4 linked regions of the Diceros bicornis minor genome follow. The protein of the gene in region 3 interacts with the protein of the main gene of each other region in a biochemical or structural test. Links are inferred from orthologs where the notes say so. Each region holds a gene or a part of one and is shown on either strand. Other genes may lie near its edges. The genes, in order: NFKB1, JAG1, NOTCH1 and NUMB.

Region 1 (6,974 bases), on a different chromosome or scaffold from region 3:
ATACACTTTCCACTGCAGTCATCTCTATGCTCGGAACAGGACATCTACTAATAACTTCTGAAGAAGAAGAAGATGGTATTTTGACTACTTTATCAAAAATCCATATGGAAATTCAGATATTTTTTAAAATTTATTGTTTTAAAATGTCAACTACTGTTCTTACTTCTCCCAAGTTCACACTAATGGAAGGTTATGAAGTAACCACTTCCCCCCAGAAGCCAGAACTTTCACCTTTTCTGAACAGGGGAATACCTCTCATAAATTAGGTAAAAAACAAGGTCCTGCTGATCGAATAATAGTCCAAGATCCCTGTAGCTGCCAATTCCTTATCCAGACCTTCTATCTACCACAAGGAGTAACCTCTGATAGTCAAGGTGGTAACTTACTTCATCAATTATCTGGAAGGCTGAAAGCAGTAGTAAAAACAACCTCCATAAATGTTAGTTTCTTAAACTAGCTTCAATTTGTTCCAAAGAACATGAGAAGAGAAATATGAGGAATATGATCACTAAAACTAAAATTCTGCCATTTCAGACTAATTGAGCTTTTACCAACTACAACTCAGTCATCACAGACGATCTTGTTTAAGAGGTAGAAGTAAGAAGGAAGTGCAAAGATCAAAGCAGTGCTTACAAAGGGGAACAACGATTTTTGTATGTATATTCCAGTATTTACTAACCGGGTCTGAAAAACAGGGGCATTTATTCAGCCCATGTGAACGCCAACTGCAGAACATAAGACAAAATTGAAATTTCAGAACAAAGATAATAGAGTTTCAAATCACCACCGATCCCTAACTGCATTATACTATTTCCTTTTAAAAGCCTTTCAAACAGGTTAGAAGGGGTTTACTGCTGACGGCAAGCAGCCCTTCAGTGCCAGCACGAAATCTCCACATAATGAGTCTTTCTTTGGCTCATGTTTGTCCAGGAGACTGTGGTCCAGGAAAACATTCTATCTAAACAAGCCCCAGAGGGCACTGAGGAGTTGCAGGTATAACCAGATGGATGAATAATTTCAGTAGATTTCATTTTTCCGTCTATTATATATGTTCTTCTCACCTTAGCAATTCAATTACGTGATAAACATAAAATGTTACAGGAAACAAATCTTTTATTTCCTGTCTTCCCAAGTTTGTAAGCTCAAAAAAATACTTTGCTTTAAATTATTTACATAATTTCTTTAGTGCATCAAACAGTAAAAGGATTCATCTCTAGAAAGCACAATATTAAAATCAGGAAAACAACATAGTTCAGCTAAGGGCTTTATTTTACTCAAGATTCCCTTTCAAAGTTTTAACAAACACTAATGCAATTTAAACTACTCAAGAATACTCAATTGAAGTATTCTGCTAGGAAAACAAGCACTGAACATCTTGATTTCAAGCTTTAGTGTCTACCAAAGAGCAACAGTTTGTAGAAGAACATTTGTATGCCAGAGCTATTACATGTTTTAGTAATACCAAGGCATTTTCTCAGATTATGGGCTTTATAACAAAAATTTTAAGCTAAATATAGTTCTTTAATAAGCTGAATGCTGAAAAACCCTACTCAACAAAGTCCATGAAAACGCCTTAAATCTTGACAATCAAATACCGTATCATTAAGTCCCATTTAAGTTTCAGGTTAGACCAATAAATCAGGGCAAACATCTCCATTCCGTACTTATTTTTAAAGACCACAGAAAGCTTGTATTTAGGACAGGCTTTGTTTATATCATTATGTTTGCTTTAGAGGTCAGGCACAATACATGGTGCCGTTGTTCAAGTGTTTCACATAATCAGAGTGTCTAAAAAGTGCTCTAAGTAGGTAATTTCTTTTCTTTCTCAAATGCCAGGCACTGTAGGATCAGCACCAGACCCTCCTTGTTTTCTTGAAGACTAATGTAGGGTCCTAGAGTAGGTGAGTTGAGTATATTATGTCGTGTGTGTGTGTGTGTGTGTGTGTGTGTGTGTGTGTGTGTGTAGGGGGGATTCTTTTTGGAGTAAGGGACGAGGGCATCAGGCTGTCCTCCTCAGTCTAGAGGGCCGAGGAGGGCTCTCCCAGCCTAAAGGACGGCCATGCACTTCTGCTTTCATTTCGTGAACCGCCCGGCGGTGAAATCTGGTTCAGCACTGCACGCAAACGCACCCCCTTCCCCTCGCTCCTCGGCGCCGCCGAAGCGCACCTCCACCTCAAGCCGCCCCTAGCAGGGGTGGGGTGGGGATAAAGCAAGTTTGCAAGAGTTCGCCCCGGTTCCCGGGCCCGCCCGGCGCGGGGACGGGAGAGAGAGGCCGGCCAGGCAGCCGCGGCCCTGCGGCCGACCGGCTCCTGCGCGGCCCGGATGTGCCTGTCTCCCTGTCGCCAGTCCCATGTGCCTCGCCACTCCTGTCAACCTCCTCCCGCGGGCTGGCCCCGCGGTGGCGCCGGAATGAGGAAGTCCGAAAGGGGCTGCAGGGGCTGCAGCGGGTGGGCGGCGGGCCTCGGGCACCCGGCCCGGCGAGGCCCCCCTCGCCCGAGGTGGCTTACCCTGGTGGCGGGTCCGCGCGGCCTCCCTGCGCCGGGGGCTCCCTCCGGGGGCGCGGGCCTGAGCGCTGCGGAGGGCAGAGGCAGCGGCCGCCGGGGCGGAGCGGGTCTGGTGCGGGCCGGGCGGGTCGGGCCGGGGCGCGGTCTCGCCGGCCAGGCCAGTCAGCGGCGCGCCATGTCCGCGGCGCGGGCGGAGGGAGCGCGGGCGCGGGAGGCCGCGGCGGGGAGGCCGGGCTGCGCGGGGCCGGGGCCGGGGCCGGGGCGGGCGGCGGGCGCGGCCGAGGGCGGCGGCGAGAGGCCCGAGCGCCGGGAAGGGCAGGGGAAGCTGTCAGCGCGCCGCCCGGCCGCGCGGGTGGCGAAACCTCCTCTTCCTGCCCCGGCCCGCCGGTGCACTTCTCTCTCGTTCTCGCTCGCTCACTCTCTCACTTCCTGGCTGGAAATTCCCACTGACGTCGAGAGAGCAGACAGACAGACGGACAAGCGCGCACGCCGCGGGGGCGGGAGGTGGGGTCGCCGCGGGGGTGGGGGAAGCCCGCACTGGTGGGGCGCGCGGCGAGGGGCGCGCGTGGGGCGGCGCGGCCGCCGGGTCCCGGCGGAGCCCGCTCCCCGCCGCGCTCCCGAAGGAGCCACGGGGCTAGAGCGGCGGGACGCCCCCTGGTAGGCCTGCGGGGCCGGCTGTCCCGGGCAGCAGGCGGCGGGGCGGCTGATAGGGTCGGGCGGTCCAGGGCCCCTAAGGACGGGCCCAGGCATCTGGAGGGGATGATGGGTCGGCACGGGGCCAAGCATGCTGTGTATAAAAATAAATCCCATCTGTATAGTCCATGTAAGTTGTCTCAGTTACGCTCAAATCTCTTCACAGATTAAACTGGAATTTCTCTATCGTAACTGAATTCTGTCCAGTGAGGTCTGAACATCTACTGGTTGTTGGTGAGATCTTAAATCTCCTGGTTATGACTGTTATTCAGAACTTTCATCTACAGGGCATTGTCAGGCCTTATGATAATACTGTGGATAGAGTTATAGTGATGGTGGTAGCAATGGTTTTGGTTCACAGCTCATAAAGAAATCCTGATCTGGCAGAAGAGAGATTTTCTCTTTTTAATGGAGAGACTGCTCCTGGAACCCACGGACAGATGTCTCCGGTGACCACCGTCCACTAGCATTGAGCTTCTCTACGTGCCAGGTGCTGTGCTAGGCGTGGGCTGGGGATCCCTTGGAGTAGATTACCTCCCCAATAAGAAATCTTGAGTTGGAATCGGTGCTTTAGAACTCATTGTCTCAGTGCTGAGTTCAGTGACAACTGTGTAAATTTAACTTGAAAACATCCGTAATCACGGGATCACTAGGCAGTGTTGCTGTGGCTTTAGATTGCTACTAGCAAGTTCTGCATGGTCCTTTCATGCCCACTGCCTGGCCTCTCCTCTCCCTCCCCAAGGTTATAAGAATCTTCTTGGTGGAGTGTTGGGCAGAGGAGTAGAGATGCATTTATTTGAGTCTGGGATGAGTCTCTGCAGGGACCTCGGGACCAACCAGCAACTTACAGTAGTCCTCTCCTGTTCAGAGTTTCACTTTCTGCAGTGTCAGTTACCCCAGGTCAAACACAGACATCCTCTGCATCCACCCATCAACTGGTTATGGCTCCATGATCCTCCTCTTAACCTTTGTCAGAAGGTCAGCAGTAGCCTAATGCTACCTCCCAATGCCTACGTCATTCACCTCACTTCATCTCATCACCTAGGATTGTATCATCTCACATCCTCACAAGAAGGGTGAGTACAGTACAAGAAGATGTTTTGAGAGACGGAGAGGCCACATTCACAAAACTCTTATTATAGTATGTTTTCATAATTGTTCTATCATTATTAGTTATTGTTCATCTATTACTGTGCCTAATTTATAAATTAAACTTTATCATATGTATGTATGTATAGGAAAAAACATGGTATATATAGGGTTCGGTACTATCTGTGGTTTCAGGCGTTCCCTGGGGGTCTTGGAACATATCCCCCGCATTCAAGGGGGGTCTACTGTACCTTTAAGCAATTTCATTTTAGCTCCCAGAGGCTGTCTGAACAGCTGGAATGCAGGGAATTTATACAGACTGAAGATAATGACTTTCTAGAAACCCTGTGTTATTATTTATGGAACATTGTTAGAAATTGTGCCAATATTATATTTTAGTAGATTAATATATGGTTTGCATAAAATCATTTTTGCCACTGACATGAGTATAAAGAGTGCAAACTCCCATGAAACAACAAAGTGTGGGGGAAGTGGTTTTTTTCTTTATGGGGTAGATGTGAGCATTCACACGCTTCATGCCAAAAGAATGGATAGTCGGGATCTTTAGAAGAGTAGAGCTAGCCTGACATATTTTGGGAACAAAAATCAACGAGTGTTAATTAGTGTTAATTAGAAGAGGATTAAGTTAAATTTCAGATTCAAAAGTATCCCATAGAATGAACTTAGAATTGAGGGTGGGGTGTTAAGCAGGTGTATTAGTTTCCTAGGGCTGCTGTAACATCCCAACACAAACTGGGTGGCTTAAAACAGCAGGAATGTATTCTCTCACAGTTCTGGAAACTAGAAGCTGTTGGCAGGGTCCTGCTCCCTCTGAAGGCTCTAGGCAAGAATCCCTCCTTGCCTCTTCCTAGCATCTGGTGGCTCCTTGCAATGCTTGGATTCCTTGGCTTTTAGCCACATTACTGCAATTTTTGCCTGTCCTGGTGTGGCCTTTCCTGTGTCTCTCCTGTGTCTCTGTATCCAAATCTCCCTCTTCTTCCTCATATTAAGACACCAGTCATTGGTTTAGAGCCCACCCCAATCCAGTATGACCTCATCTTAACTCAATTACATTTGTCAAGACCCTATTTCCAAATAAGGTCATGTTCACAGGTACCCAGGGTTAGGACTTGAACATATCTTTTTGGGGAACACAATTTACTGCACCACAGGAGACAAAATTATAAAAGCCCCCAGTCAACTCCTTTTGGCTCACAGCTAACCTTCTTGTATTCCTGCTTTGTTTCCTAACACTTTCTCTACACCGTCTACATGTTTGCTTCCAGGAATCTTGCTTACAAATTCATCCATTGTAAGGTGTCAGAGGGCATTTGCCATTATCAGGCTACAGAGAAAGAAATGCCTAAATGTGGGATTTCAGGCATCAAGATTATAGAAAGAGCAGTTGTGTTCTGTTTGTCACTAAATATTTGAAATCACATGAATTTCCCTTCTCATGAAGCTGAGTATTGGAAATGTTGGTGTCCGGAGAATTCTGAGTGTACATTGACAGTGAGAAATTATTTAGTGTGTGAAGGGGATTCACAAATACAGACTCATACATCTGAGTGTTACAAACTCTTAAGACCCATGTTGGGGATAGAACAGTACTGAATTGTATTTCTGTAAAGGGTACAACCCGCTTCGGGTCATGAAGCCACCTCAACATGCTTAGAAACACTCAGGTCACAGCTCTTAGCAATGGGAGCCAAGATGAAATGGAAAGACTTCACTAGACTCGAAATCTGGCTTGAGTTGGAATCCTGGCTTTGCCTTGAATTATCTGTGTAAGTTTTGCCAAGTAATAGTTTGTATGGGCTTCAGTTTCTTCACCTGTACAATAAGCATAACATGATAGCTTATATTATACACTGTATAATAGCTTTATATAATGTTTGTTTTTTTTGTGAGGGAGATCAGCCCTGAGCTAACATCTGTGCCAATCCTCCTTTTTTTTGCTGAGGAAGACCGGCTCTGAGCTAACATCTATTGCCAATCCTCCTCCTTTTTTTCTTCCCCAAAGCCCCAGTAGATAATTGTATGTCACAGTTGCACGTCCTTCTAGTTGCTGTATGTGGGACGCGGCCTCAGCATGGCTGGAGAAGCAGTGCGTCGGTGCGCGCCCGGGATCCGAACCTGGGCCGCCAGTAGCGGAGCGACGCACTTAACCGCTAAGCCATCAGGCTGGCCCTATATAATGTTTTATATTATATATGTTGTATTGCTATGGTCTGAATGTTTGTGTCCCCTCAAAATTCGTATGTTGAAATCCCAACCCCCAGGTGATGGTATTAGGAGGTGGGGCCTTTGGGAGGTGCTTAGGGCATGATGGCAGAGCCCCCATGATTTGGATTAGTGCCCTTATGAAAGAGACCCTGAGAGCTAGCTCTTCCCTTCCTCCATGTGCAGACGCAATGAAAAGTCTGTGATGTGGAAGAAGGCCCTCACCCAACCGTGCTGGCACCCTGATCTCAGAGCTCCAGCCTCCAGAACTGTGAGCAATAAATTTATGTTGTTTATAAGCCACTCAGTCTGTGGTATTTTGTTATAGCAGCCCAAGTTAGCAGACGAAGAAAAGTATATGCACATATATATGTAACAACACATATGTTGTCTTATGTACATATATAACAGCAATATATATGTTATATTATAATAAGCCAACCTCACAAAGGTCTAGAGACAAAG
Region 2 (7,776 bases), on a different chromosome or scaffold from region 3:
TCTGCTCTCACACACTGCTTCCGCCTCCTTCCCCACCCAGGACTCTCTGCCAAGTGTCAAGAGGGGACAGACACACCTTCTAGGTCACGTTTCCCTAGCCAGCCTGGGGAGCAAGGCTCCCTGTTTTCATCCAAGCCGTCCTCTGACCCTGCTCTCCAAAATGAACCTCAGCCAGGCCTGCAGCTTTCCCACATCACTAATAAGATTCCTTTTATGGTCTTGTGAAAAGCGAGGGGCTCCAGAGGATCCTCCGGAGGGTGGAACCACCTGCAGGCCCCTTCCCCCTAAACTCCAAACACACGTTCAAGGGCGGTCAGAATCCACAGTCATTGTGGGCCCAGCCAGATTAAAAAGCGGCCAACCTCTTTAGCTTAAAGTTCTCCCTAATAGGGGATTAACAAACAAGATAAACGCTCTTTGTAAAAATGAAATCCCACAACACAAGCAGCCCTCCGTTCTCAGAAAACTCCACATACCACAGGTTTTTATAAACCTCTTTTAATGGCATGTTTCTGATAACTGTCTTATCTCACCCACGGCAGAGGGCACTTTACAATGCCAGCTCCTCTAAACGTGGGCCTTGAAAGCCACTCCAAGTTTTACGGCAGACATTCTCCCCTCCCCAAGTGGCGAATCACAGCCCCAGCCCGCGGATAGGAGGCAGCAGAGCGCACCCCATCAGAGCACGTGGCGCAGAGTATTCCCCCGGGGCGCTGAGCTCCCCCTCTCAACACCCACCCTCCCAGCACAGGCTCGGCCAAGCCCCGGTCCTGGCAATGAGTCACGCCTCCGGGACAGCAGGAGGGGGGCAGAGGGCACCAACATTTTTCCCTTTCCTCTCCTTCTGCAATCACACTCATCTTCCTTCCACCCATTTCAGGATGTCGTAAAGGCCTCGCTGCAGGTTCTGCCAGCGGGGGCCCGGACCTCGAACAGCACCGGGGGCTGGAGGGGCGTCCATGCACTTGCAGCCGCAAGGACTGCTTCTAGCGGGCCGCCCCTTCCAGGTCTTGGCACGCCCCCGAAGGCTTGCGGGGGCTGTGCGCCCGCCGGACAAGGGCGCACCCCCGCCCTTCCCGGGGAAGTTTGCAAACACAGCTGTTCCAGAGCCCGGGAACTGCTGGAAGTTAGGCCACAAGGGCTACACCGCGCGGGGGCGAGGGCAGGAAGGGGCCGGCAGGGGGCGGAGGCTCCCGGGCCAACAACTCCGGCGAAGGCCCGAAGACCCCCCCCACCCCCACCCCCTGCGGCGGTCGCCCCCGTCCCCTTGCGCCTAGCCGGGAGCGCGCCCCCGCACGCACCAAAACCTCCGGGGCAGCAGCGGGAAACGGGCTCCCCCACACCCTCCAGGAAGGACACACCCGCCCTCCGGGCCGCTCACGGGAAAGGGGAGGGTGCCAATTTGGACGGCGTTCGAAGGCCAGAATTGCGCGGAGTCCGCCTTTCAGGGAGCATCGGGTTTAATTGGTTAAGCAAAGATCATTTGGGGGGAGGGGGTGGGCAATTACTCTAGAGCCTTCAAGTTGTAAGTTTAAACCGGCCTTCCTGGGATCTTTGCCCCACAATCCCCTCTGGGGTCTCCACTTTTGTGCGCTTTGCAAAAAGCAGCGGAGATGGGGCCCGCCGAGTTCTAACTGTAGAATCTTGGCTCCCTAACCCTCCACCCCAAACGACTTCCCCAGTTACCGCCGAGTTTCAAGCCAAGACCCTTAAATCCCTCTCACAAGAGAAAGCAGGGCTCGGCAGGCGCGGGTGCGAACCTCGGCCGGGCCTCCCTCCCTGCGTCCGTCACTCACCGGCCAGGCGAAACTGAAAGGCAGAACGATGCGGTTACGGTCGTTGCCGCGACTGCCCTTGAGGTTGAAGGTGTTGCCACCGATGACAGGAGTGGACCCCGAGCCGAAGCTGCAGGGTCCCCCGGCCGTGACGCGGGACTGGTACTCCTTGAGGCACACTTTGAAGTACGTGTCACACTCGTCGCGGGCGCACTTGCGGTCCCCCGGGTTCCGGGCGCCGCCGCAGCAGTTCCCGTTCTGCAGCTCCCCGTTCACGTTCTGCATGGACAGGATCTCCAACTCGAACTGGCCGGAGGCCCCGCACACCTGCCGGAGAGGGAGCGAGGGAGGTCAGCGCGGGGGAAAGTTGTTTTCTTCGAGGGTGGAAGTGGCGACTCCCTAACCGCCTGCCCCGACGAGCCCTCGGCGCCAAGTGAGAATAATTTTGCAAAAGTGGGTGCAAGGGCTCAGCGTTATTCCCTGGCATGAAGTGCACGAGTGCGGGAGAATCAGACGACTGCCCCCGGGGAGCAAGAGGGGAGCGAACGCGCCCCCTGCCCAGCCTAGAGGGTACATTTAGAAGGCTGGGGGCTCCCCCAGTCCAGGTGTAGCTTCTCGGGCGCAGGGGCCCAACCACGCAGCCAGGCGCCCGAGGGCTCCCGAGCCCGCTCGCGGCGCTCAACCGCAGGCGTCCGGGACGCCGCGAGGGAAAGGAGAGGGCGGGCCGGGAGGGAGGCCCGGCGGGCTCCTACCTTGGCTCGCAGGGCGCAGAGCAGGGCGAGCAGGAGGCTCAGGGGGCGCCCGGGCCGGCCGCGCGTCCGTGGGGACCGCATCGCTGCGCCGCGCGCCGCGGGCACTCGGGAAGCCGCCGCCGCCGCCGCTGCTGCTCGCGCTGGTGCTCCCACCGGTGCTGCCGTCGCCGCTGCTCCTGCGGCCGCCGCGTCCCGGCTCTAATATACTCCGCCGATTGGAGCATGCACGACTGGAAAACAACACCACTTTTCAAAAGCCCTTTCAAGAGCGGCCTGTTCCAGAAGGCAAAGAGCCCGGCCTCCTTTTATTATTCTGATCGCTTCTTTGAGGCGCTCCCCCTCCTCTTCCACCTCCCGGCTTTCTTTCCTTCTCTCGCGCTCCCCTTCTTTTATTATTATGATTATGCGCAGCCTTTTATTCCCTTTCAGATCAGCTGCATAGAAAAGAGGGAGGGGAGAAAAAAAAAAAAACCCCGAGCCCAGCTCGCGGGCCGGCCGCAGGTAACACAATGACGCGTGCCCGCCCGGCTCTCGGAGAGGGACTCGGAGAGCCCGTCTGGGAGCCGCGGCCCGGGCTGGCCACCTCTACCCAGCGCGCCGAGCAGGCGCATGCGCTTATTAATATTCATGAGGGGGCGTGTCCGCACAGGACACGCCCCTTCCCTCCCGGTTGGTGGGGAGGGGAGTACTTGGAGGAACTTTGAAGGCTTTGGGGGCTCGGGGACACGCAGGATGGCGAAGACGTCGGGGGCCCAGCGCAGACCCCTGTTCTCCCGAGCTTCGGGCCCGGGAGGGCGCGGGGAAGGGCTGGGAAGTGTGCTTTGTTCGGGGACGCCCCGGGGCCCCTCGCGCGGACCGCCCCCTCGGGCGCCTCAGCCGGGGCGTCTCTGCCCGCCCGTCGGGGCCCCAGGTGTAGGCGCCGCCGCGCTGCCTGAGCGGTGGGAGCGGGGCAGCTTCCGCCTTCCGAGCCGCCTGCGTCACCTGCGGCTTTCGCCCCGGGAGGAGGGTCTGCCCGCCGGGAGCCCGGCCCGCTTCCCGCGAGCGAGCGAGCCGCCCAGAGCACGCTGCTGGCGGCAGTAGCGGCAGAGGCGGCGGCGGCGGGAGGCTGGCGCGCTCGCCGCCGTCTGCTCGCCCGGCGGAGGCGACCCGGGCAGGCGCTGCTGGGAACTTTGAACAACTTTCCCGGAGCCAGGCTTGCCGCAGATTCGGGGGAAGCCTCGGCCGCGCCCCACCCCCTCCCAAATCCGAGCCTGCGGAGCCTCGAGGGCTCCCAGCTTCCTTCCCAAACCACGCCAGGGGCGAGAGGGACAGGAGACACCGCGGGGACAGGGCAGCGGGCACGCAGGGGCCCTGCTCAGGCGTTGAGAAGGGCGGGCAGAGATGCCGTGGGGCTTGGGCTCACGCCCTGCCCGGCCCGCTGCCCGGGCCGCAGTGCCGGGATTGCACCTGTAGGCGGCCTCGGAGCAGCTCTCTGGGTGGCAAGAGATGAGCGTGGAAGGGGCCGTCTCGCCGCCATCGCCAGGCAGCGGAACTTGGCCTCTCGGGTGGCAGTGGAAACCCATGCTATTTTCCACCTTGAAGCGAGCCTTGCAGTTAACAGCGACAACTCCCGGTCATAACCAAGGGCAAAGGAAACTTTCGGGCTGGCAGAAGCCTTTGCCAACCCCTCTCCCAGCGGACCTGCTGCTGCGTTTGAGGGGATCTCTTTCGGGAAAAGATAGATTTCCACTGAAGAGTGGACGAAGTTTTGGCCCTTAGATTGGGTATGTCCTGTGGAAAAGTGTGACCATCTAGGGAGCAGTTCGTGGCTGGAGCCCTCCAGAGCTGTAGAGTAGGATAGGCTGCAATGGGTCAGGGGAAAATAGTTTCCAACACGCTGATTTAGGAGAGCCTAAAAGAATGGGTAATTTGTAATGATTTACTTACTGCGTTTAATTGGAGGCTTACCAATCAATGGACAGTATTTTCAGTGCCAGCTCTCATCACACTGGGGAATAGATGTAAGGCTCTTCACGTTGGTTCAAAGCCACCAAGGATGGTTTAGGAATCGTGGCATTTTAACAGCCCAAGAAATGCTCCTAAGAAATGCACCTTCTTAATGATAGTGTGTTCCATCTTGGTGATCATTGATGAGAGAATTAACAATCTGTGTTTGGAAGGGACATACGCAAGAGAAGAACAAGTTTGCAGCAACCTGGGCATTTTGTCTTAAAGTGCCCCTGTCGTGTCGTGTCCGTGTCCCGTCCCCCCCCCCCCCCCGCCCCGCTTATCCTAAACGCAAGAGATCCAGTTGCCAACTGTAATCTCATTTACACTTTTCTCACCAAAGTTTACACACAAACCAATCTCTCCCGCCTCTTATCTGCCCCTCCTCACCTCTATCCCCGAATATCCCCTAAGTGAGGCGCTAAGCAATGCTTTAAAAACAAAATGCTGGTGCTGGAAAAAGCACCGTTCATTAAGGCTGGTGAAGTCTTAAAATGCACATTCCTTGGAGTTCCCCATGTCTGAATCTATTTTAACTCTGGGCCCTGGGGCCTGCGCCCTGCATACACCTCAGGAAGGAAGCTGTGGATGCAAGAGGCCTTTAGATGAAGAGTTTAGACCCAGCCGCCTGCTTAACCAGAGAGGGCTACCTCAGATTGCAGGTGCCTCCAGGTAGCCATCTGGGCTGCATGTAAGCTGGAGGTCGGCTCCAAGTCACAGGTGAATTTAGCCCCCGTCTAATAAGGAAAGGAACATAGATTTCTGAGGGGTCAAAACTATCTGGTTAACCTTAACAGAAAGGTCAAATCACTAATAGACACAAAATTCTCATGCCAAATAGCACGGTGTCCCTCACCCGTCCTGAGCCTGGGAACCCACTTTTAGAGAAGACAGTTGTGGGCTAGAGGGGATTCTTTTGAAAATTTTCAGTTGGGACTCTTTCAACTAATTGGTACTCCCCCAAAAAGCCAGTCACGTTTACCGCAACAGACTTCAAGTGGAAGCTCTAGCCCCCACTTCCTTGCAGCCAGTTCTCAGCTTCTCTCTCTGGAGAATGGGGAACCACTGTGGAAAGAACTCAAATTTGCAGATTCCCCCTTGGCCAGGTCATATCCTGCCTTTGGATATAGCCTAAAGTAAGTGAACATTCCAGAAAAAAGTTCCTGTGAAAAATACCGTGTTTAGCCGTCACACCTACACCTGTGAGAAGGGGAAAAGCTTGTGGTCAGTTACTATGCCATGGGCTCTAATCATAACCATCCTTGAGTATCTTCTTTCATTTTAAAAAGAGGATGCTTCATTTTTCTTTTTCCACAAAACTTACCGTACGTTTACTGAGTCATCAACAAATAGCAGTGCTGAATTCCCAAAAGGCTTAATAAGAGATGTTCTAGCTATAATAACTGTATTTAAATACATTTAGTCAACTTAAATTCCTGGTTAATCAAGACTGATAAAAATCAGCAAATCAATATTTATTGAGAACTATGTTACCTGCAGCAACATGGATTATCTCAAAAATATGCTGAGTTACAGAAGCCAGACACAAAAGACTACATCTTGTATGAATCCATTTATATGGAGTTCTAGAACAGGCAAAATAAATCTATGGTCAAAAAATATCAAAAGAGTAATGGCTTGGGGAGATGGGAGAGTGGCGATGAACTGGGATGTGCTTGAAGCCTCTTCTGGGGTAGGGGTAATGTTCTGTATCTTGAGAAGGGTTTGGGTTACACAAGTGTATGCACTTGTCAAAATTCATTAACTACTACACATGACTGGTGCCTTGCATTATGTGTTCAAAAGAGAAAAAAGTTGTAATACTGAACTTGAGTTAATTATATGAGTGCTGAAGTATTTAGAGGGAGGTGAAGTGATATTTGCAACTTGGAAATGCATAAAAAAATTAGAGGGCTTGGTGGATGGATGGAAGATGGCTGGATGGATATATGCTGAAGCAGAATAGTGAGGTGTTAATGATAGGATCTGTGTGGTGGGCATCTGGTATTCACATAAAATTCTTTCAAATTTCTCTATGTTGGAAATTTTTCACCACAAAATGTTGAGGAAAACAGTTACTGATGTGCCAAGTATTGTGTAGGGTGCTAAGAATGTGGTGGACAACACCAAAATATTGGACGTAAACACTTCAGAGTAGAGAGCATGCTTTGTAAGGGGTGATGATAATGTAGATGGTAGTCATGAATAAGAAGGAGATGGTTCCTTTTCCCCCATTCCTTTTCATCCTAATTCTTTTCTTCTTTCCAGTACATAAGAGAGAAAGGTCCAAATATAGAGAAGGGACATGTGAAATATCCTTTAATATCTTTCTTTTTCTTTGAACATTGAAAAAAAGTTCCTACAAGTTCACAAGCCCTCTTCCATGGAAAACCAGATGTGGTATCTTTCTGTCCCTTCCCAGCTTAACCGAAGGATGCTCCGATGTCCTACAAGCTCTTCTCTTGTTCCACCACTTTACTGTCTTAGAAAATGCAAGCTCAGGCCCTGCCCTGTGGCCTAGTGGTTAAATTCGGCGCACTCTGCTACAGCAGCCTGGGTTAGGTTCCTTGGTGCAGACCTACACCACTTGTCAGCAGCCATGCTGTGGCGGGGACCCACATACAAAATAGAGAAAGACTGGCACAGGTGTTAGCTCAGGGCAAATCTTCCTCAGCAAAAAAAAAAAAAAAAAAAAAAGCAAGCCCCCAGTAAACTCTGCCCAGCCAGTTCCCCAAGGAAGCACAGCATCTGAATATACAGCTACCTCCATGGATTATTCTCATTCTTCCACGTCACAAGAAGTTCTGAAGGAAAAAAAGCCCAAACCAACCTATGGGCAATGAATTAGATGTTAAAAAAATCAGGTTAAAGTTATAGCTCCCATAGTAACCATAACCAGGCCACAAGTTTATACATTCAAGCATAAATTGAATAGATCCAACCATTTTTTTCAAAGCGTCATTTTACATACACAGGAGATCTGAGTTAATTTTCTTGGGAAACCAGAACTATGAATTTCTTGCTTTATCGACAGTAATTTTGTATGAGCTTTGTTTTAAACATTGTTTTGGTTTTGTCTTGAGCTCAGTTATTTATGATTTTGCTTATCTTGCCCCAATCTTGTCTCACAGACATTACGTGGAAACCTATCAGGACAAATAGAGCCACATGTCCATGTCCCCTTTGAAAAACCAATCACAGGGGCTGGCCCGGTGGCGCAAGCGGTTAAGTGTGCGTGCTCCGCTGTGGCAGCCCGGGGTTTG
Region 3 (7,571 bases):
CCCAAGATAGACAGCTCACCTGCTCCGGGAGGCAGGCTGCCTGTCAGGGGACTTGCCCGGGCAACATGCTCCCCAGCCTCTGTGCCTGCCTCTAGGATGCAGACCCTCCTTCCTGGGCCCCCGGGGGCAGCAGGGGGGCTCACAACCAACTGGTGCCCTGGCCCCAAGCTGCCGAGAGGCCTCAGGGCTCCCAAGTAGTGACTGCTGTGGGTGGCAGGTGGACAGGAACCCCCGCAGGGCGGGGCCCTGTGCAGAGTCCTGCATTCACTGCGCCTGCCGTTAGTCAAGGGTCAGTCTGCATCAGTGGGGGGCACCTGCATCTGGGATCGCACATCCCCCTGGAATGCCAGAGATGGATGCAGGGAGCGGGGAAGCCCAAGGGCTCTGGAATGGCTTTCTGGAGGAGGGAGGGGTCATTTCAGCAGAGGACAAGACGTGCAGAGCAGAGAACTGACCTGATGCAGCCTGCCTGGGGTGCAGGGCACAAGGGGTCTTCCCCGGTAAGGCCTGGTGAAGCTGGCCGGGGGAGATGCCCAGCACCTGCAGGTGACCCCGCCAGCCCGCTCCCAGTGCAGACAGCTGGGTGCACACCTGGGCCTGGGGACAGTGGATCCCTGCGTGGAGGGTGAGGGGCAGGCAGAGAAGCAAACTCTAGACCCCAGTCTACCCCCTCCTTTCTCAGAACGAGGGGGAAGCCCTCCAAGGTGGGCCGGAATCCATCCTTAGGAAAGAGCAGCGAGGAGCTAGTGGGCACCCCCCATGCCCCACATGGAGACACGCTGCTCACAGCCAAGCGTCCAGCACCGGAGCCTGGGGAGCCAGCCCTGGCCTGTCCACCCGCAGCAATGAATGCCACACAGCTGCTAAAACCACGTCCTGGAGAAGTGCGCAAACCTCTAGGAGAAGTTGGTTTTCCATGGAAAAAGGCAGGCAGGACTTTAGAACTCACTTGGTGGAGGGAGAAACTGAGGCCCAGGGGGCAGTGATGGTCTCTCGATGGGCCAGCCGGTCAGAGCTCAGTGGTGGGCCTGGCTGTGGTGGACAAGGGGCAAGATAAGAGGCTGGACACTTCTCAGGCCCCCAGGCCCTCTCTTTGTAAGAAGGTCAGATATGTTTTACAATCAACTTCCAAAGGGGGATGGGCCCTACCCCTTGTGTTCTGGAATCTTCCCACAGCTGCCCCCACCAGCACCGGCACCTCCCACTGAGGTCAGGCCTGTGCACCCATCACAGGCCCCCCACACCCTCAGCTCAGCTTCTAAGCCCTTCCCCCAGACAACCCCCCTGAGGGGTGTTTGGGGCCACTGTAGCCCACACCAAGCAGGCCTGTGCCTGTACCCTAAGTCTGACCTGCTGCCCCCACGTTGTGAACAATACTTGACAGCAGGGAGGGCAGCCCTGTCATGTATGCCCAGCCCTGTCACGTACAGAGACAGCCCACCACACCCTTCCGGGGGGCCCACCTGCCTGCTGAAGACTAGGGCCCCAACCTGGCCTGACTCCAAGCCAGTCTCATTTCAATGTCTCAGAAAAATCGCGAGAATGATGCCACCCCACCCTGGGCTCAGGGGTCACAGGGGTGCACCTGAAGCACCAAGACCGTCACTGCAGGAAGGAAAGTGACCGGTACCCCAGGACCTGGATTCTCAGCCCTGGCTGCACCTGAGGACCCTGGGGAGCCTCAACACGCTGACCACCCCCTGCGCCATGCAGACCACGTCACTGCTGACCCCTTCCCCTCTCAGGAGGGGGCTGGGATGGGTTTTCTTGTGGGGGCAGGAATGGGCCAATGACAGCACGGTCCCCTCAGTCTACCCTGATGCTGGCACCCCGGTATCTCTGGAGGCAGGAGAGAGGGGAGCTGCCCTGACTCGGTCTGCCCGGGGCGCAGACGGAACATGATGGCCTTCTCCCCTTCAGGGCCCAGCAAGCTGGCCCAGGGGAGCTTGAGGTGGCCCCTGGAGAAGAAAGTGGCAGTAAGTCACCCCCTGCAAGTCAGGCCTGCAGCTTCCCCCCACTGGTTCCAGGTTCCCCAGGCAGCTTGGGGCATCTCCACTCAGCAGGGGACTGCCCTGCGAACCTCGTCTGGACCCCCACCCTAAGCCAGGAGAGGAGGCCCAAAATGTCTTCACACTGCTGTGCCCCAATTCCACTTCATGGCGTCCCAGCCCCTGCCCCCCACGGGATTTGTGGGGTGGCCAGGCCACATGCACCTCCTCTTCCTGTCTCTCCTTCACTTCTGCAACTGCTCCCAGGCTGTGCCCCATGGGAGAGGGTCTCCAGGTCCTAGGCCATCAGGACTCCCCTCCCTCCCCTCCCTCAACCTCCCCCCCGCCACCCCGGAAGGTTGATAAAGAAGGACGAGAAGGGGAGGCAGGAAATCTCTGGCCGAATTTGTGAATGAAAAAGCTTCCCAACCACTTGCCATGGTCCAGTCTGCCCCCTTCCCAGAACTGGAGGGGAGGGAGGCCCAGCCCAGGACCGTCCTGGGCCTCACACACAAGCCCTCCCCAGCCCCAGCCACTTCTGGCTTTCCTGGGGTCTCCTCGGCCCCTGTTGCCCAGGGGGTACCCCAGGTGGCCAGGGGCACAGGAGTTGGAGGCCTGTGTGTCTGCTTGCCCCGTCTGTAGCACAGGCTAATAACGAGAGCGCCCGGCTCCTGGGGGGACACCAGAGTAGAGCTGGTACACTGGGCAGACCCAGGTAAGACTGCCCTCCTCCCTCTCCCCCTCCTCTATTGCTGCTCCTTGGCAGAAGGGTGAGAACTTCCTCCAAAGCCAGGGCTGGACGGGCCTTTACGTCTGGCCTGGGGCCTATTGGCAGAGACAGAGGGCTCTAACGGAGGGCACATAGGGAGCCGCTCTCTGAGGAGCGCCCTGCCTAAGGCCTTCGGTCCATCCCTTGAAGTAGAGGGGGATGTGGCTCACAGAGCCAGCATCTGTGAGCTGGCGGAGGGGGGGCAGGGGAGGGACTTTGAAGCACCCCTCTTCCTTCTACGGAAAATCTGCTCCTTCAGGCTGCAGGGCTGCTGTTATATAAACATCTTTGCTGCCTCCAGGCGCCTCCTCTCCCGGGCACTGACCCCGAGAGAAGTTAGCCCAGGCTCTGAGAAGTGCCGCCAGCTTCTGGGACGAGGCAGCGAGGGAGGCTCCCAGGAGCAGCTGCCGCGGCCTGGACTGCCTGTGCTCACAACAGCATCTCAGCTGCCACTAGCGTCCAGCAACAGGTGTGCCAAGAAGGGCGGGCTGGGGTCAGGTGTGCAATCTGCCCACCACGAGGCACCCCACTCTTGCCCGCCTCTCTGGACCTCCATGGCAAGGACTGCTTCTCTGCCCGCCTCTGGGATTTCTGCAGTCCTGTGGGTGCTTGTGCCCCATGCCCTTCACCCAGCTAAGTCCCTTGCAGCCTTTAAGGCTCCCCTCTGGCATCACCTACTCCAGGAAGGCCACCAGGATGCCAGGGCTGGGTGGGTGTACCTTCTGCCATCCCGCTCACCACCCTGTGTTGGGATGGTGGGGGGCTGTCTGTCTCCAGTGCAAGGCCCTGAACTTTGATTTCGTAGGGACTATGGCAGGCGTTTTGGACGTCCAGAGCTTAACCTGGCTTGGCACAGGATGCCCAAATCTGGTACTGCGGCGGAGAAACAAATCACCTGGAAGGAGCACTTGGGGGGGCCCTGGGCAGCACCGGCGCTCGCGGCGGGTCTACCTGACCAGCGCGCGCTTTGCGGGGCACGTTAGGCGGGAGGCGCCAGAAGGGGCACGATAGTGACCAAGGAGCATCTAGAGGCAGGTCCCTCCTGAGGAGCGGGTGCGCAATCCGTCCGGCCAGGTGTTGGCTCCAAGCTGTTCCTTGGGGTACCCAGAGCCCCTTTCCAGAGGCTGCGGCTGCAGCGCCACCATATCTCAGGTCAAGTGCCCGGGACGTCACAGCCAGGGGTGTCTGGCCTCGGTCTCCCGGAGGCTTAAAGCTGCGACCGTGGGGCTCCTGGCAGTGGAGCCCCTGGGCGAGGGGCGCACCCACGGCTGCCGAGGGCGGGGCTGCTTCCAGAGCCCCTCTCCTGAGCCCGGGGTCCCCCCAAACTTGGCCTCGGTCGCTCCTCCCCACCTCCCTGGGCCCAGGTCCCGGTGGCGCACGGCCCCCCACAGGCTCTCCTTTCCCCACTCCGCCCGCGCCTCTTCTGCTATTGAGATGCAAATCTTTGCTATTGTCGCCGGACGCGGCAGCAGCCAGAGCCGGATCCTTCCGCAGTCTCGGACCAAACTTTTGGCCCCTGAAAACTTTCCAACAAGAAGTAGTCCCCAAGGCCGGCCCCCGAAGCCCTCCGCACCGCCGCGGCCCCCAACGCCGGAGGACCCGGGCTCCGGACGCGCGCCCCAGCCCGAAGAGGCGCAGGGCTGGTCGGAGCGTGCGGAGGGGCGCGGCCAGCGAAAGGGCGAGGGGTGCGGAGGGATCGGCGGGGGCGGGGCCCCGGGAGGCGGGGCCGGCGGGGCGGGGGCGGAGCGCACGGCCGCCTGCGCCTCACTAGTGCCTCGGCCGCGGGAGGGAGTGCAGGGGCGTGGGGCGCGGGCGCGAGCGCAGCGAAAGAACGAGTCGGGGCGTGGAGCCGGGCCCGGAGGCCGCGAGAGCACAGCGCCGCCCGCCAGCTAGGAAGGAGAGGGCAGTAGCAGGCAGCTGCCGCCCGTGAGACCGTCCGGCGCGCGCGTGTGTGCGCCCGAGCCTCGCCGGCCCGGCGCAGGAGGCCGCCACCGGGCGCAGCGGGCAGCCGGCGGGCAGGCATGCCGCCACTCCTGGCGCCCCTGCTCTGCCTGGCGCTGCTGCCTGCGCTCGCCGCACGAGGTAGGCGCCCGTGCGCCCGCGAACCCGCAACTTTCCGCGCCTTCGGAAACTTTGGCGGCGCCCTACGCGCGCGCTCCGGGTGGCTGGGAACAGGCGGCCAGGGTGGGGAGGGGGGCCGGGCGCCCCGGAGCGGGGGAAGGGGGTACAGAGTCCCGGGCTGGGAGAGAAGGACTGACCCTCCTCCGCGCCGCCTGCCCTGCCGGGGCGGACTCGCGCTGCCCGCGCCTGGAGCCGGGTTTGAAGCCCGGCGTGGGAGGCTGGGGGCCCCGGAGGCCCAGCCCTGGGCTCGCCCTTCACCAGCCGCTCCTGGGGCTCGCCGCCGGGGCGGGCGGGCGAACTGCCTACTATTTTTCGATTTGAATCGAGTCGGTTTTGGTTTCCTGTTGCTTTGGGGGCCATTTATCTTTTTTCTTCGCCTCTGGCCCGCGCCGGGAGCGGATGTTGGGGCGCGCAGTGTGGGGTCCGGGGCGCTGCGTTCGCGGCCTGGCGTGGTTGCTGAGCAAGGTGGGCAGCGGGGCGCGAGGCGGGCCCGGCCTCCTGCCCGTTCCGAGAGATCGCGCAGGGCTGGTCGAGGGGCGCGAACCCAGGGATCCCTGGGCTCCTAGCCGCCCCGCCCGCCGGTGTCCCCCACACGCCGGATGGCCGCCCCCTATCCTGGCTTGCAGACAGTTTGCGGGGGAGTGCGGGGGTGCGGAAGACTCCGCTGCAACTGGTGGGACTTTCACTTTGTCGAGTTCAAGTTTGGAAATCTTACAGAAGTGGAGAGTGGGACTTGGCAAGGGGGCGCGTATTCCTCTCTCCACTTCCCGTCGAAGGGGGCTGCGAGGAATCTAGTGTGATTAATTTTTCTCTTTCCTTAAAATGTTGGAGGTGAGAATTAGTTTCCCATTTCCAGAAGGTAGGGTTCTATGTCACACCCGGTCCCTGCCCCGGTGAGGGGCTTAATTTACACAGCCCTGGTAAGATGGGGAGGAGGGGCTTGATTAATTGATCCTTTCTTGGGGATGGGGTCGAATTCCTTCCAAATGGGGCGTTTTCATCCCCCTCCCCTGGGTGTGGCAGAGGGCTGCCCCTAAAGATGCCTGCCCGCAGGAGCAGGTATTGGGTGTCTGTGCAGGCAGGGCCAGGTCCCCAGGGTGCAGTCCTGGTGCCCCAGGAGGCGGCCCTGGCATGACAATGGGCTGCTCTGATTCCCCGGCCAGCGCTTTGTTGGCGGGCGGGGCGGCCGGCCTTGCAGCTGTCGCATTTTCCCACGAGCGGGGGAGCTGAGTGTGGCCACCCCCCCCCAGCACTGCCCCCTCGCAGAACGTGTTTGAACAGCAAGACAATCCCGGTGGCTGGATAGGGGCCCCAGCCCAGCCCAGCTCCCCAGTGAAGACGGGGTGGGGGGGCGCGGAGTTTGGGAGAATGGCCCAGGATCATCTCAGCTTTTCTCCACTGCTGTCCAGGGGGCATTTCAGGCCACCTCACCCCATTTTGAGCATGACCCGTCTACCTGCCACCCAGCCAGCCTGTTCCTCCTCTGCAGTCCATTTCTGACTACAGAACTCTGGGCAGAGTATTGAAGCCTTGGGGTTCAGGCCGGGGCTTCCTGGGGCCCCGGGGCCCAAGCAACCCCAGGACAGGGCAGAGCCTGCATGGTGAGGGGTGGGCGGTGCCCTGGGGGTGGGCCCTTCCCGGAGCTGAGGGCTGACCTCTCCTCTCGCCCCTCCCCAGGCCTGCAATGCTCCCACCCCGGCGAGAGCTGCTTGAATGGCGGGAAGTGTGAAGTGCTTGCCAACGGCACTGAAGCCTGCGTGTGAGTACGCCCCTGCGGGGACCTGTTGCTTTTGTCGGGAGCAGAGCCCCTGCCTTCTGTGGCGGCCGGCAGGGACAGAACACTAGGCCATTGTCTTCTGGAGATGGCCCAGAAGGCTGGGCGCAGTCACGTGCTACTTTTATTGGACAAAGTCTGGCAATTACTTAATCACCAGCAATTATGCTGCGTGTGGAGCTGGTCTGGCCACTGGAGGTTTGAGCACTTTTTTGTGGGCCCCCTTGGGCTCCTGGGGGGCTAGGTGAGAATTCCTGGTAACCCATTTCTTCCTAAGTCCCTGAGAAACAACTGAGCTGCCAGGAAGGCTCTGGAGCATTTGTAGAGGAGCCCAGCCCCCACCACCCTGCCAGCTGGGGAGCATCTCTCCATCTCTCTTGGGCAGGTGAGCTTCTCCCCCGGGCAAGTGATGCCTCCTCCGGGCAGGTGAGCATCTCCCCCGGGCAAGTGATGCCTCCTCCGGGCAGGTGAGCATCTTCCCCAGGCAGATGAGCATCTCCCCCTGGCAGGTGATGCCTCCCCCGGGCAGATGAGCATCTCCCCCTGGCAGGTGATGCCTCCTCCGGGCAGGTGAGCATCTTCCCCAGGCAGATGAGCATCTCCCCCTGGCAGGTGATGCCTCCCCCGGGCAGATGAGCATCTCCCCCTGGCAGGTGATGCCTCCTCCGGGCAGGTGAGCATCTCCCCCGGGCAGGTGAGCATCTCCCCCCCCCCCCGGGCAGGTGATGCCTCCTCCAGGCAGGTGAGCCTCTCCTCCGGCAGGTGATGCCTCTTCCAGGCAGGCAATGCTTCTTAGCAAGGAATTAGCTGTTTCAAAGTCAAACCCACCCTTCTCAGCGCTCTGCCTTCCCCAGCTCACTCCCCTCTGGCCTCAGGTGAGGTTGGGGAGAAAAGTTGGAACTCGTCTTGTTGGTGGCGC
Region 4 (7,908 bases), on a different chromosome or scaffold from region 3:
AGAAAGCAGATCCATCCTGACTAAGCCTTGAGATGACTGCAGCCCTGTGAAAGACCCACAGCCAGAGAACCCAGTTAAGCTACACTAGGATTTCTGACCCACAGAAATGGAGATAATAAATGTTATGTTACTAAGTTTTGGGGTAATTTGTTATGCAGCAAAAGATAACTAATGCATATCCCATTTTGTTGATGAAGAAATTGAAGGTTAGGGAGATGAATCAACTTTCCCAAAGTAACACAGCTAGTAAATGGCAGAGCCAGGATTTGAACACATTTAGGTTCAAGTTTACTTTCTTTTTTTTTTGGTGAGGAAGATCAGCCAAACATCTGTTGCCAATCCTCCTCTTTTTGCTGAGGAAGACTGGCCCTGGGCTAACATCCGTGCCCATCTTCCTCTATTTTATATGTGGGATGACTGCACAGCACGGCCTGATAAGTGGTGTGTAGCTCCGCGGCCAGGATCCGAACCTGCGAACCCCGAGCTACCAAAGCAGAGTGCATGAACTCAACCACTAAGCCACTGGGCCGGCCCCAGGTTTACTTTCTTATGAGATTCCAAGTGATGGGGAAACTGGAGTTCTATAAGGCATTCTACTCTCTGAAATCCTTGGAGTGTAGCCATGTTTCCAAGAAACTCTGTGTGTGTGTAAAACAGGGATGGACAAAAGTTTAAATGGTGCTGAGTATTTTAAGCGGCCTACTCCCTGCTGCAGAAGAATGGCTGATCTAGCCATAGATCTGGTGATAGTAACCAGGGTCTCCATTCAACAGCACAATGGCAGAGCTAAAAGCTGCAGCCCATCCATTTTACAAGCACTCAAGCCATCTTACCTATAATATGTAAGGCGGGTAAAGGGGTAAACACACTTTTCTTTCTTTTTTTTTTTTTTTGTGAGGAAGATCAGCCCTGAGCTAACATCCATGCCAATCCTCCTCTTTTTGCTGAGGAAGACCGGCCCTGAGCTAACATCTATTGCCAATCCTCCTCCTTTTTTTCCCTAAAGACCTAGTAGATAGTTGTATGTCATAGTTGCACATCCTTCTAGTTGCTGTATGTGGGCCATGGCCTCAGCATGGCCAGAGAAGCCGTGCATCAGGTGGGCGCCGGGGGTTCTGAACCGGGGCCACCAGTAGTGGAGCACGCGCACTTAGCCACTAAGCCAGGGGGCCGGCCCCCACACACTTTTCTTGAGGATGAAAATGGCTGCATTGAGTAATGAGAAGGTATGGTTTGCTATTTAAAAATCATATGAGCCCTCGAATTGGAAAACAAATGGTTCTCCCCTAGAGAACACCCTCCTCCACTGATGTGTGTGCGCGCGCGCTCTTCTTCCCCTCCGTAGAACAGAGCCTTGAACTTTGAAATCACAGAGCTTTGTTCCTGCATGGAAAGCAGCTTGGCACTTCCCTGTGTTGGAAGCTCCCCAGTTTGGGACGGTAAAAACGTCTTCTTCTAGATAGTTTCCCTTTGTTCATCCAGAGCTTCATGCCAGTGGTCAGTTTTACGAAATCTAATAAAGATACATTCATTGGCGGGCTGCATGAATCTATCCTTCCTTGTCAGCTTTGCCCTGTGCCAGAGCAGCAGGTTTAAGCTCAGGGAGGATTTCCAGGTGGCAATAGAGCAATGGTCCCACAGAGTAGAGTTCTGGCACAGTTCTCCTTTTAACTAGTGGCAGAGGCTGCCTTTTGTTGGCGTAATTGTGCAACCTGGTGTAAAGTCCACAGCCAGGGAGTGAGGCTATGACTCTATCTAAGCTAGCTCAGCACTCTGTGGCCTCTTGACTCTTTCCAGCTTTCCTTACCCTCTTCTCTACTGGCCTTCTCTCTCTCATCTCTATCTCTATATCTCTATGTCTATCTCTCTCTGTCTCCCCCTCCCTCCTCTCCAATCCCTTCGTCCCTGTCAGCCTCCACCTTCAGGGATTCCTAACTCAGGGAACCACCTCTTATCAAATATCTTGGCTTGCCTCCAACTGCTAGGAGCAGGTGGCTCTGGCTCTTGTCTGCTGAGTGATTTTCTTCTCCACCAGTTGTTTCTCTAACCCACTTGGAATTGTGTGTAGAATCCAGGAGGAAAATGTCCAAAAACAAAAAATGGAGCTTTTCCCGAGTGAGATTTCCCCCATGGACTAAAATAGGAATGAAAGGAGACTCAGATTCTGCTCCCTCAAAAAGCGATACGATGAAAAGAGGGCAGGAGTGATAAAGAAAAGAGAGTAAAATGTAGCATTGGCATACACTAAGGCCCAAGGCAAACCACTCTGCTCCTTAGATATTGGGACATCACTCTGAGTCCTTCATTTGCCACTTAATCAGGATTTATAGAGGCTATTTTTGCCTTTAACATACCTGCCATCTTGGTCTTGCTCAAGTGGCTCTGAAGAGATACCATCTGCACCACCTCCACAGCCCGCCACACAACACAAAGCTGCAGACTTCCTGACTCCTGGAGTTCTCGCTTTCTAAGAGGGGGCCTTGAGAGTGGTGGAGAAGCACATAACACAGGACAGAAAAGAGAAGCTGGATGGAGCAGTTACGTTCTAAGGTTACCTTGTGCACGCAAAATCAAAACATAGAGTCCAAGCAATAACCTTTCCAGTACTGCATTGGCCTCCATAACACAATAGCCTTCTGTTGGATCAAAGAACATTCCTTAAAACTTTCTTTCTTTAAGGTTTTCTCTCTTCTTACTGGGTTGTACATGTTTAATTTTACATTTCTTTTCTTCACTGATTTTCACAAGGAATGGGAGTGGTAGAAGTGTATATGCATGTATGAGCAAAAACGTTTAGTGTATAAAATAGAGTGAATAGCTGACATTTGTGGCAATTTTCCTAGTTTTGTGATAGTAATTTTGTTGAGTTCCTGAACTTAGATGGCAAGCCCTCTTAGTGAGGCTGGCCTAAGTCTATGTTCTCTGTGGCACCTAGTCACTAGGGCTGTGCAAGAGTCATTATTACCCAAAGTACCATAATAATGGCCATGCCCTCCCATGACGTTATTGTTTCCTATCTGCCAGGACATTAATTGCCTTCTAACTTGCTCTAAAATTGGTAGGTAGGGCACACTGCCAAGACTAGAGAGAAGAAAGCTGCTGGTAATATATTAAAAGCCTGTGAAAGGACATACTGATACCTCCTTCTCATTGGAGCATCTTCATATTTGCATGTTACTTCATTTGTTATGGGATATTAGTTCAGGCTTGCCTTATGTCTTGGATTCCATCTTATCATGGTCAATGTCTGATCTTTCCTTCAACTGAATGATTCAGACATCTCTGAAGTTATTTTCGCTTTTCCACTTTCCTTTACAGGCTTTTTATGAGTCATTGAATTGAAGGGGAGGTTACTTCTAAATTGGAAGGTGGGGATGAGAGAAGGGGGAGGAAAGTTCTGGAAAATAACTAGGAAAAGACACCTTATTGTTATGTATATTTACTGGAGGAATAATTTCCGCTTAGTTTGGTTATAGAGGTATGTAGTTTATTCAAATTTGACTAAAAATATAGGCTAGAAAATACACAATTTTTTCCTGGAAAACGCACCATACAGTTTTAGAGTCCTTGCCCTGCAAAGGACAGGAGGGTAAATAGGAGATATGAGACAAAGAGTTAGCAGGAAGAAGAAAGGGGCAAAGCACAAAATTTCCAAAGTCCAGATTCTTGGTCCCACAGGAAGTTCCCAATCATAAAGCACCGCTTGTGAGGGGAATACCTCCTTGCCCTGTCCCAACCCATCCCTGGGTGTATGTTTCATGGCCCATGGGTTTGTGTATTATAGATGGAGTTGTGAGGGAGGTGCGTTTAAATTTGCTTTAGAAATTGAAAGAGTAATCAGGCCAGCATTTTGTTATTTAGGAGCCGGAAAAGTGAGTGGACATAAAAAAGAAAAGCAAAAAGCTAATGATAGATACATTTCTAGGAGCACTAGAGTTTTTATAGCAACACCAGATTTCTCAAAAGTGCCTACTGTGATTTGTACCCAAACGAATAAAAAAAAGCAATCCTTTATTCTTGCGCATTGTGCCAATGTGAGAAAAGAACTGCAATTCATTCAATGGTTCTAATTTAGACCACTAGGAAGAAGAGAGGTTTAGAAAAAAAGACAAGCTTTTTAAGTATCTGACACACATCTACTACGGCTATTTAAGAACTGCTGAATATAAAAATCACGTTGTGGGGGCGGGGGCGGGGGGGTGCGGACTTCTCATTTCCAGAGCATCACAAGGGTAAACTGTAGTCCAAACTTGCCGATGGCTGCCTGGTCACTTCGCAGGAGCAGGGGTGAGTCTGGAAGCTGGAGAACACTCCACACGCCGCTTCAGTTTATTAACGACGTTTATAATTGCAACCGAAGTGGACTGATTTCTTCTAAATAAAGTTGTGCTTTGCCCTTTAGCATAGAGACTTCTGGAAAGAACTTCAAGGAAATTGAGCGCATTGAGACCTCAAGAAAAGAAGGGGAAATAAGCTTCTCCTTATAGGGAGGGAGCTGGAGAAAGTGATGAGTTTACAGTCTGCACTCTACAACAAAGAGTTAACCTTTCTCCGGTAACCTCGGATGTGAGCGTCAACCCCTTCCTTGCTTTCTACTGCGCAACCAAACTGTGCCTAAGCTTGAACCAACCGTGGCGGTCATATCCCTTGCCAGTTGACTTAACAGACACTTTCGCCAGCCTATCATAATTTCGAACTGCCCAACCGTCAACCAATTACGACTAAAGCTTGGTCTGGGACGCTCCAGGTCCGGGCGGGTGCTAATACCGGGTCCAGGAAAAGGGGCGGTGAGGAGGCTATGACGGACAGGTAAATCAAGCCAGTCAGAGCAGAGAGCAGCCGCCCCACTATCCAATGGACAGGTAGGAAGTATGAAACGGGGTGGGCCTGTTGTCATGGGGGAGGTGGTGGCGCTAGGTGGCTGCTGGCGGCCGAGGTAGAGGCAGTGGCGCTAGAGTTAGTCGCGGGCAGCGGCAGGTGAGTGCCTGTAACGCAGGCCTGAGGTTTGGGGCCGTCGCGGGGCGGAAACTCCAGCTTGGCGCTCCGGAGGCGGAGGCCAGAGGCAGAGGGCCTGGACTGCGGGCCGGGTCGCGCCGGGGCTGGGGCCGGGGCGGGGGCGGCGGCGGCGGCGGCGGCGACGAGTTCGCGCTGACTGGGCTGGTGGGAGAATGGCGTGGCTCCCGGCCGCGGAGTTCGCGTCGGCAAGGTAGGCTGGGGCCGGACCGAAGTGGGTCAGGCCGGAGTTCCCTTGGGACGTCCAGCCGCTCGGGTCTGGGGCACTGACCGGCGACTGATGTGTGAGGGTTAGGTCCCTGGGGAGACGGGAGAGCGGCCGGAGTCCCAGAGAGGGGGTGACCTGCGGTGACCGGTAAAGATCTGATCCGAGGGCGAGTGATTCGGGAATACCCGGGACAGCTTGGGTGCAAGGGAGAGGGGGAACCCGGGAAGCCCGGGAGCGGCCCGAGCGGAGGGAGCTGGGGGGGCCGGGACACTGGGAATGGCTCGGGTTCGAGGGAGAAGGGCGGTGGGGAGACCGAGGGCGGCCGGGGTCCGAGGTGACAGGGAGCGGCCTGGGTTGGGGCAAGGGCGTCTGAGGAAAGGCAGGGAGGGGGCTGGGGACCCTCCTGAGAAAGGCCGCTGTCCGAGGGAGGAGGGTTCCTGGGGACTTAGGGAGCTGCGGGAGTTAGGAGGGTCGGACCTGTGGAGACCTTGACCAGCTTGGGGAGGACCCGGAGCGCCCGGCCCCCTGCCGCTGGTCTGGGATGGGAGACCCCAGACTGGGCTGGGACCTCCTGGAGCTGAGGATCCTCGGTGGACCGGGAAAAATATCCTCGAGGCGTACCTCGGGTTTAAGACTGGGGACGGGGGTGAGGGGTCTGGCAGGGGAGTGGAAGTTTTCTCAGTTGGAGAGGAGTCAAGCAAAATGACACGGGGGTGGGCGGGGAGAAATAATTTCCTTGTAGGAAGGGAGTAGTAGCTAGGGCGCAGTAGGAGGGAGCGAGAAAGTTGCTTCGGAACAGAGGAGTGGTCTTGTGGAAACCAGCCAGAATAGTAGATATGAGAAGTTAACAGTGGGGTCATTAATAGGTTCTAAGGACTTCAGAAATAGAAGACACTTCCTAGCTTCATAATACTAAGATGCCGTCTAGGACCTGAGGAAAGGTCCTAAAAGCAAGACTAAGTGACTTGCATTCCAGTGCTTTAGAAAAAACAATTGTTTTAAGATGACAGCAGTAATATTAGAAAATCAGGACGTTGACAGGATGGGGAATTTGAAAGGGGAAAGGGGAGGAGTAGCTGAACTAAAGGAATAGGACTGGGGACTTGATAAGACAGGAGAGTCGCGAAAAGGATAGGCATATCCTTGCTAAATTAGAAATACGTTTGAATTCCAGTTCCACCACTTAGCTTGAACAACTTAACCTCTCTGTGCAAAAGTTTCCTCCTCTGTTTAATAGGGATAATAATAGTTCCTACTTCATAGGGTTTTTTTTTTTCCTCATGACGTAGTATTTGTAGAGCTTTTAGAATAGTGACTGGCACAGAGTAAGCGCTGTGTACTGGATTGTTAAATAAAGGATAAAGACAGACCTGAGTTCTTTAACGCAGCAGTTCTCAAACTAGCTTGCACCAGAATCACTTGGAGGGCTTGGTAAAATACAGACTTCTGACCCTACCCAGAGTTGCTGATTGAGTAGGTCTGGGATGGGGCCTGAGAATTTGCATTTATCTCAGGTGATGCTTATGGTCAGGGGACCACAGGTTAAGAAGAGCTTGCTTTAATGAAAACAGTAATAATGTAGCAACTTGAAAATATCTGTCTACCCTGTTAGAGACAGGTAGAGGCAAATTGCAAAAAAGATCCTAATATAAGGGATACCTTATTTTAAGGCTATGTTTTTTCAGACTGTGGATCATGATTTATTAGTAATTTATGAAATTAATTTAGTGGGTTACCACCAGCATTGAAAATAAAATGAAATAGAATAGAACAGAATTGACTGGCACTGCACTTAGTAGGGAAAAGTGTTGTTCTGGGAAACTTTTCTCATACATGCGTGAACTAGGTCACAATGTAAAATGTATTGCTCACAGTGAAAAGAGTTTGAAAAATTGTTTTGAGCCATGCAGTGCAGCAAAAGCACTAGGGGTATCTAGGGACTGGGTTTATTATTTATTTCTTTATTTTTCTTCTTTATGTGGTAGTTCTTTCTCAGGTGGTGATACAGTCTATTAAATTTCTTCAGTTTCTGATTTGGTTTCTCCTGTGTTTGCCTTATCGCATATTGTGTTATGCCTCTTTTTAGAAACTGAGAATCTTGGGGGTGAGGATTTAAGGGAATTTGAAGCAGGGAAATGAAATTGACTGGTGTTTCTCAGATGTGGTGCACTCTTGTCTCTCTTGTGCCCTCTTGTTTACCTTCTCTTTTTTTTTTTTCCCACTGTACCTTAAAGCAGTGTCTGTAAAAAAAACCTGAGTATACACAGACATATTGACAGTAAACAACTAACACTGAAATGGGCTGGTTTGAGAACAGTTCATGTATAGAAAATAAGTAAAAACCAAGCACATTTTTCAAAAGAGAAAAGTGAAAGGGTGTTTCCTTTTTAGAGAGTAAATGCATCTTAAAGCTTTTTATTGCCTTACACTAATACAAAGCATATAATATAAAAGCCTTTTTAAGGGAACCGGATATACTTGTGTATTTTATATATCTAGATTTTTGAAGAGGGAATAGTGATAATACTTGACAGTAAAATACACCTGGGATAGAGGCTTAACTACAAAGTAAATAGTTTATTTTGCGGGAGCTATTGTGTTGATGGTTTTCTCGTTGGAGAAGGAACTGGATATCGCATATGTTGTAAATTTAACTTATTTGAGGGACCTAAATGTAATCTACAATA

Evidence for each region.
Region 1: the proteins of NOTCH1 (region 3) and NFKB1 form a complex in vitro, tested with the Homo sapiens proteins (2 studies listed by BioGRID). The link is inferred for Diceros bicornis minor from reciprocal best matches to the Homo sapiens genes NOTCH1 and NFKB1.
Region 2: the proteins of NOTCH1 (region 3) and JAG1 form a complex in vitro, tested with the Homo sapiens proteins (3 studies listed by BioGRID and IntAct, with this or other methods). The link is inferred for Diceros bicornis minor from reciprocal best matches to the Homo sapiens genes NOTCH1 and JAG1.
Region 4: the proteins of NOTCH1 (region 3) and NUMB form a complex in vitro, tested with the Homo sapiens proteins (2 studies listed by BioGRID). The link is inferred for Diceros bicornis minor from reciprocal best matches to the Homo sapiens genes NOTCH1 and NUMB.

The regions. Positions count from the first base shown.
Region 1 is NC_080747.1:84,937,298-84,944,271, reverse strand, and holds the start of NFKB1 (nuclear factor NF-kappa-B p105 subunit), read right to left. Parts: upstream 3,011-6,974; 5' UTR 2,508-3,010; intron 1-2,507.
Region 2 is NC_080758.1:38,196,640-38,204,415, forward strand, and holds the start of JAG1 (protein jagged-1), read right to left. Parts: upstream 3,002-7,776; 5' UTR 2,609-3,001; coding exon 2,528-2,608; intron 2,103-2,527; coding exon 1,797-2,102; intron 1-1,796. UniProt on the Homo sapiens protein: Ligand for multiple Notch receptors and involved in the mediation of Notch signaling. May be involved in cell-fate decisions during hematopoiesis. Seems to be involved in early and late stages of mammalian cardiovascular development.
Region 3 is NC_080767.1:42,289,246-42,296,816, forward strand, and holds the start of NOTCH1 (neurogenic locus notch homolog protein 1), read left to right. Parts: upstream 1-4,556; 5' UTR 4,557-4,778; coding exon 4,779-4,839; intron 4,840-6,555; coding exon 6,556-6,637; intron 6,638-7,571. UniProt on the Homo sapiens protein: Functions as a receptor for membrane-bound ligands Jagged-1 (JAG1), Jagged-2 (JAG2) and Delta-1 (DLL1) to regulate cell-fate determination.
Region 4 is NC_080763.1:21,565,678-21,573,585, reverse strand, and holds the start of NUMB (protein numb homolog), read left to right. Parts: upstream 1-4,892; 5' UTR 4,893-4,977; intron 4,978-5,183; exon of another isoform or gene 5,184-5,206; intron 5,207-7,908. UniProt on the Homo sapiens protein: Regulates clathrin-mediated receptor endocytosis. Plays a role in the process of neurogenesis.